2 linked regions of the Alligator mississippiensis genome follow. The protein of the gene in region 2 binds, or shares a complex with, the protein of the main gene of each other region. Links are inferred from orthologs where the notes say so. Each region holds a gene or a part of one and is shown on either strand. Other genes may lie near its edges.

Region 1 (3,751 bases), on a different chromosome or scaffold from region 2:
ATTCCAAACAAAACTGTTTTCTTTATTTAAAAAAAAAAAAATCCACATGGTAAAGTCTTGTCCACACTTTTCTTAACTTGTGTCAATTAGTTTATGGGACAGCATTCTTTTCTCATCTCTGCAAAAGTGCATATGGCTTCTCCTTATGCAACAGACATGTATCATATTAAATGTTCTTATAAGCTGTTAAAAGAAAAAATTCAACATCATGCCTAGAATATGTCTTGATAACAACCCACACGTATAAAGTAAGGGTGCACTGATAGAGATTTTTGGGGCCGACATCGATATCCAATTTTTAAAGAGGCATATCAGAAATCAGATGGGTACTGGTCGATACAGCATGAAGAGCTGCCTCCAGCTGGTAAGTCCATTGTGGTGGAGGGGGAGGGAAGACGCACCGGGGGGGGTGGCAGTGAGGGAAGGGGTAGGCACTGGCCAGCCAAAGCAGGTGTGGGATGGACCCACAGCCTCCCACAGCTGCGCGAACCCTGGGAGGACCAGGGGGATGGGGCAGGCAGCACATGCCCCTGAATCTGCATGGGGCAGGGTAGATGGGCTGCAGCTGTAGGCTAAAGACGGGGCTGCACCTTGGCTCTTCTCGCTGGGGGCTGGGCTCAGGGTGGGGGCTACAGTTGGGGCTCCAGCCACCCCAAATTTCACTGTAGCTCCCTCCCAGTGCCACTGCGCACTCCCAACTCTTCCTGGCACGTGGGTAGAGGCAGGGTGTTGAGCCGGGGCTGTTCCAGGAATGCAGTGACAGCCATCCTGGGAGGGAGCTACGGTGAAATTTGGGGTGACTGCAGCTCCCTCTGTAGCCTCAACCTGAGCCCAGACCCTGGTGAGAAGAGCCCGGTGCAGCCCTGGCCTCACCCTTCACAGATCTGGGGGCACCCCCTTCCCCCCATGCTTTCCCAGGGTGCACACAGCTGCAGGAGCCACCCCCCCCAAACAAGCCGCAGATACGTTCTGTGCCCCCCTCCACCACAGCTGGGCAGCACCTGCCCCTATCCCTGACCCCTCCCTCACCATGTGGAGGGGTAGGGGGGTTGATCTGCACCCCCCACATCCCTTCCCTCCCCGCTCCCCTTCCACCAGAGACTTACCAGCTTGGGGCAGCTATCCACACTGCAAGGCTGTGCTCCTTGCTGCCTGAATGCTGTGCTGTGGCTGTACACACGTACAGGCATTTATCAGCCAAATTACTGGCCCCAACAGGCCAGTTTCCGATACAGCCAAAATTTGTTTATACTGGTACCGATCTGATACCAGATGGATATATCAGTGCATCTCTAATATAAAGCATTTGTTATTTTACAAACACATGCTCTATACAAATACATAAAACAACAAAACTTTCCTAAAGCTTTCATTCCAAAGTTTAATGCTGGTCCCATTACCCTCATTTAGTGGACATTTGTCTTAGCCTTTTTTGTTGTTGTTTATTTGGAAGCATTCAGCCAAGTTTAGCTTTCAGCTGTTGGAGAATAACTGCTGATTTTTTCTTTTTAACATTTTTGGTTGGTTGGAGCCGACTGCATGACAACTCGGTACAAAACTTATTTAACTTGTAAAAGTATATACATTGGTAATTTGTTCATACTGTATTTTTTCGGTATGATGAAGAGCAAAAGATATATATTGTCTCATTACATTTAAATTATGATTACAATTATTAAAATTGGCAAAATATGGAATGTTTATTCTTTGCATGGTAGTATATGCCTTCCTGTAACTTCACTTGGTTACTTTATTATAAATGAGTAAGATCATATAATAGATTGCATGTAATATGTTTAATTTTAAGACAACACATGATGTACAGTTTCTAATGAAAGGTTTCTTGTATTTTTTTAATACATCATGAAGTAGCAGAGAAGTGCCCAGCATAACTGTTGAGCCTGCAGCTGTGGTGCCCTGGACAGCTTTCTGAGACTACACTATTGCCTAATTTCCTTGTTTAAGGAAACTACAAGACCTTTCAAGTTTCTTTACAGAACCTGGTCTTGATGCCTTGACAGTAGTTTGAGGAATGCCTATGGGTTTTCCAGAACTGTAAAATGGTTGTAGCCCATCCAAGTGTGAAAAAGCAAAAAGAAAAATACAATTACTCCATCATCAGACTTCAAAGTAGCAAATAACATTCAAAGTTGCTGAAATTAACCAAAAAGTACTTTTGTTGCCTAACTCTATAGCCACAGAGCAGCTCCTGAGAACTGGATAATATTCTCAGAAAGCCAGTGAGGCCACCACTGATGCATGCTCAACAGTTACACTGGGCACTTCCCTGCTTCTTCATGACCCATTAAAAAAAAATAGAAAAAAACTTTCATTAGAAACTGCCCATCAGACCTGGTCTTGAAGTAGGGTGAACAAAAAACAACCATGACCCTTTTACATAGATAAGGCAGACAGAGATGGAGGAGGACACCTGGGAGTGAGAAGGAGCCACCACCACTGATGTCACTTTGAATGCTCACAGGCAGTAAACACTCTCTGCGGTTTCATTTCAGCCTATAGCCCACAGGCTTGGTACCGTCCTCCAGAGGGAATCTGAGCTTGCCCTACATTTAGAGACGAGCAACCCAACAGGTCAGGGGCGGCACAAGTATGAGTGCACGAGTGGCAAGAGCAGCCTGTGCAGCCGGCAGGCAGCACAGCAGCAGCTCGGGCAAGGAGCAGAAGCCGGAGCAACAGATTTGGCAGGGAGCGCGCAGCCGGGAGCAGAAAGGAGAGCAGCAACGAGGGCAGGGGTACAGAGCAAGACGCAGAAAGCAGCAGCTCAGCCGGCAGCAAGGCGGGACAGGGCTCTCGGAGGCAGGAAGCGCACACCCACACCCACGTCCCTCCGGACCCCGCAACTCCAGTCCCGCACTCACAAGACGCGGTCCAGCGGCTCCATCTCGGTAGCCCCTTGCACGCGCGGCTCAACCCCACGTGGACGCACCGCACACAACCGGAAGTCCGCATTCCCTTTTCACTCTGTAACGTCACATCCGCCTACCGGAGGCGATGGCGCCACTGCTCCCTCCTCCCGCTATTTAGTAGCTTGCCCGCCAGCGCGTGCTCAGTGACAACGCATGAGGGCGCTGCCCTGAGCTGGGCATAAAGTGGGGAGGGGGAAGCGCCGGGTCTGCTCCTAGTTAGTGAATAGGTTGCTTTTCAGTACATGATCGTCATTACTACTGCTACTACTATCGTTATTATTGTTAACGTTGTATTATTAAACTAATAAAAATGATGGTAAGGATAATAATGACAATGTAATAAACCCTTTGCATCCTTTATTATCCTGCCAAAAGTAGAGTGGAAGAAGCCGGTGGGACTTACAGCGCAAAACTAACCAGCGGAAATGAGGTTGAAGTTGGTTCCTTATTCCCAGTCCCTTTCTCAAACCTAATCTATACACACTAAAAACTTGTTATTCGTGAATTACACATTCTAAGAGAGATAATTCCATCAGCTATGTATATTTATTAATTAATATGTAAAATAATATCCTACATCAAATACAGAGCCCTAAATTAAGACCAAATTAGGATAGGATTACGGGGGAAACTACTTTTTGGGACACCCCAGACTGCAGGTTGCTGCTACTGGGGGACTGTCCCGAATAACCCTAAGCACAATTGGAATAAGGAACCAACTTCAACCTCATCCAACAGAAGCCCTTTTGCACATACATATCTTCAAGGGCATGTTTATGCCCCATCAGGTTGTGCCTAGATCCTGGTATTTGTGGGGGCACGGT
Region 2 (3,308 bases):
GGAAGTTGCAGGTCTTTCTTCAGGGTACGGAAAGCCCTAGGCCAAGATGTCTCTCCTTTTCCTGCCCCGCCTTCACACATCTGGCATAATTTTTCCCGCCCAGCTCCTATTTCTGCTGTAGCTTCCCTGGGACTTAAGGATTACAAAGGTAGCATAGAAGCCTCCCCTCACCACCACCACCTTGCATTGCAGTGGCAGCGGAAGTGGTAGTGCGCAGGCTCTGCTGCCCCATCCCCTGCTCACTGGTGCAGGAGCAGGACCCCGAGATGGACCAGAGGGACAAACCTGAGCTGTCCCAGCCTCAACAGCCGCACCTGCTTGGTGAGAAAAAAAAAAATCTGAACTAAGGGGCGGTGGGCAGGGGGCCCTCAGGCAGCAGGGCCACAACAGCAGGTGCCTCAGCATTGCCAGGTGTTCAATATGAAATTATCGTATTGGGAGCTCAAAATGATTGTATTTTCTGAAAAACTATCATACACTGAAAAATAATGAAATAAGTATGCAAATAACTCTTCTTCTTTTTTACTTACTATTGCTCACTGTTAAACTGCTGTGAGTGAGAGAGACCTGGATCATCAAAGTTGAAACATTTCTTTTTTTCAAGGCAAACAGCCAGAAGAGAGTGTCGACAGCAGCCCCGACTCAGCTAAGACTTCCTGAGCATGACTTGGTGCATATGCTGCATCAATTAGTTGCCTCAATAATCGTCCTACATTTTGAACACTTTTACTATTACTGATTGTACACTGCACAAGGGCTGAAATGATTGTACAAAACCGATCATTATCGTACGCCTGGTAACACTGGGGTGCTTCTGCTATACAGGGCCTGGCGCCCAACGCTGGGGGCGGTGAGGAGGGCGCTGCTACAAGGGGTGCCGCAGTACCGCGGGGAGGGGGAAGGAACTACGAACCCCAGCATGCAACGCGCCGCCCGCCCCCCTGCCGCCGGGCTCCGCGCGGGGCATTCTGGGCAATGCAGTCCCGCGCTGCTTACACTCATCCGGTGCCTTGACCCGGAAGCGGCCCTTTCCCGGCCACTCGCACGTGGAGCCATGGCGGCCCCGCGCGCGGAGGAGCTGCTGGCGGGCGTGGAGCCGGCGGCCCTGCCGGCGCGGAGCCTGGTGGTGCACAAGGAGCTGGAGCTGGACTTCGACCTGGGCAACCTGCTGGCGCGGGACGGCAACCCGCCACCCCGCGCCGCCGCCGCCGCCCAGCGGGAGGCCGCACTGCGGGCGCTGGCGCGGGACAACGCGCAGCTGCTGGCGGCCGAGCTGTGGGCGCTGCCGGCGCGGCGGCCCGAGGGGGAGGCGGCGGGGCCTCTGCTGGCCGAGCTGCCGCCGCCCGCCACCCGCCTGCCCCGCGAGAAGCCGCCGCCGCGCCCGCGGCCGCCCACGCGCTGGGAGCGCTTCGCGCAACTCAAGGGCATCCGACGGCGTAAGCGGCCCTCGCTTGTGTGGGACGCGGCGGCCGGCGATTGGCGGCGGCGCTGGGGCTACGGGCGGGCGGGCGGCGACCCGGCGCGGGCGTGGCTGGCCGAGGTGCCGCCCGGGGCTGACCCGCTCCAGGACCAGCTGGGACGGCAGCGGCGGGAGAAGCGCGAGCGCGTGGCGCGCAACGAGTTCAGCCGCCTGCGCAACCTGGCACGTGCCAGCAGCTTCCACCCCACTGGCCACCAGGGCCGCCAGGAGCTGGGCCGTGCCGCCTGCCTGGCCCGTGCCTCCACCGCCTCGCTCGGCCGCTTCCAGCCGCGCCTGCCCCGGGAGTCGCCTCTGCCCCTGCCACGCAGCGCTGGCAGCGGCAAGAAGAAGCGGCGCTTCGCACCTCTGCTGGGGGACCTGGCGGCCGAGCGCGGGCGGCAGCTGGAGTTGGTGCGCACGCTGGCCAAGCCACCACCACTGGACGTGGCGCGCGCCACCAACAAGCAGCTGCGCCAGGAGGACGCCGAGGTGGCATCAACGAGTCGCGCCAAGGGCCGCAAGCGCAGCGAGCGTGGAAAACGGGCACGAGGGCGGGGCACCCCCCAGCAGCGCCGCCGGGGGCAGCAGAAGCAGCAGCGCCCGGCTGGGGGCAAGAGGAGGAAGCGCTGAGCATGGCCTGGGCCCTGCCTGGGATTCCCCCCCACCCTCGTGTGTCTGGGGGAGGGCAATCTCTCCCAGCCCAGAGTGGAGCTGGGGTACCCCCCAAGAGACAGGGCACAGGCCTGAGCCAGAAGGACTTGCTCCCCATTTATATGACAGGACCCCATTCTCGTTTGTCTTCTTGTGGCTGCGCTCAGAGGCTGGAGATGCTTTAGCAGGACTGACTGGTTACAAACAGCACAATAGACATGGGCATTTGCTTTTGAGAGGGTTTCTGGGACTGCGTTGTGGAAGGACTTAAAGAGGGTTGTTCCATGTGTTAAATGAGCCATTGAAAGTCAGCGGCTGTTTCCAAGCTTACTTTTTTGCTAAGCAGCCTAAGTATGTTCCTCCAACTCTGTCACCCCTTCATCTTTTCTCCAAGCTATCCCAGATGGGTTTGGTTTATTTTGTGTTCTGCCCTCTATTAAAATTGTAAGAGCTATAAAAATACTGCAGGTCCAAAGTGTCTCTTTCTCATGGCCTAGAAAAGCAGAGATGGGTCTGAACAAGAAAAAGTTCACTGTGTGTATGCAATTCCTTTCTGTGCTGCTGAAATGTAGACCAAAGGTTGTGAGGAATCACTTTCTAGAATTGCTCCCTACTGTGAGAAGGATGTTGCAATAAATGAAGATTTTGTGGTTTGGGGTTTGTTTTTTTTAAATGAGGTGAGTAAAGTTCTGGCTTATTTAATTGAATTGACTACGTGCATTGGGGAGAGTTAACATGTCTCAGAACATTAATACTGTACTAACTGGTATTATCTAACTAAAAATGTGGCACAATTAACATTTAAGATTGGGTAGATAAAACAGCAACTTGGAACAGTCAGAAGTTGCTGTTAGAAGGGAAGATGACTGGTACTAGAGCAGGGCTGGGCAATTATTTCGGGTGGAGGGCCGCTTACCCAGTTTTGGCAAGCCGTTGAAGGCCGCAGGGGTAGTCCCACCCCTTGACAGGTGCCCTGCCCCCTGGTCACCATCTTGGGACCAATGTCTCAGGGCCACTACAGGCAGGGAGCAGGCTGGTAGAGGTCTGTGGAGCTGGGCTGGGCTGCACCGACAGGGAGAGGGGGGAGCTGGCCCTGCTCCATAGAGCCCCTGCCAGCCAGGACCCTATACTCCTGCTGCCCTGGTGTAGGCCCCCTGCTCCCTCTGGCTCTTGCACCCTCTCACTCCCAGTGCCCAAC

The links. Proteins that work in one complex are often made in the same cells at the same time.
Region 1: RRS1 (region 2) and RPF2 share a complex: the UniProt entries of both Homo sapiens proteins name them as parts of the hexameric 5S RNP precursor complex. The link is inferred for Alligator mississippiensis from reciprocal best matches to the Homo sapiens genes RRS1 and RPF2.

What each region holds. Positions count from the first base shown.
Region 1 is NC_081824.1:96,476,846-96,480,596, reverse strand, and holds the start of RPF2 (ribosome production factor 2 homolog), read right to left. Parts: upstream 3,004-3,751; 5' UTR 2,903-3,003; coding exon 2,880-2,902; intron 1-2,879. UniProt on the Homo sapiens protein: Involved in ribosomal large subunit assembly. May regulate the localization of the 5S RNP/5S ribonucleoprotein particle to the nucleolus.
Region 2 is NC_081826.1:64,239,181-64,242,488, reverse strand, and holds RRS1 (ribosome biogenesis regulatory protein homolog), read left to right. Parts: upstream 1-992; 5' UTR 993-1,054; coding exon 1,055-2,089; 3' UTR 2,090-2,763; downstream 2,764-3,308. UniProt on the Homo sapiens protein: Involved in ribosomal large subunit assembly. May regulate the localization of the 5S RNP/5S ribonucleoprotein particle to the nucleolus.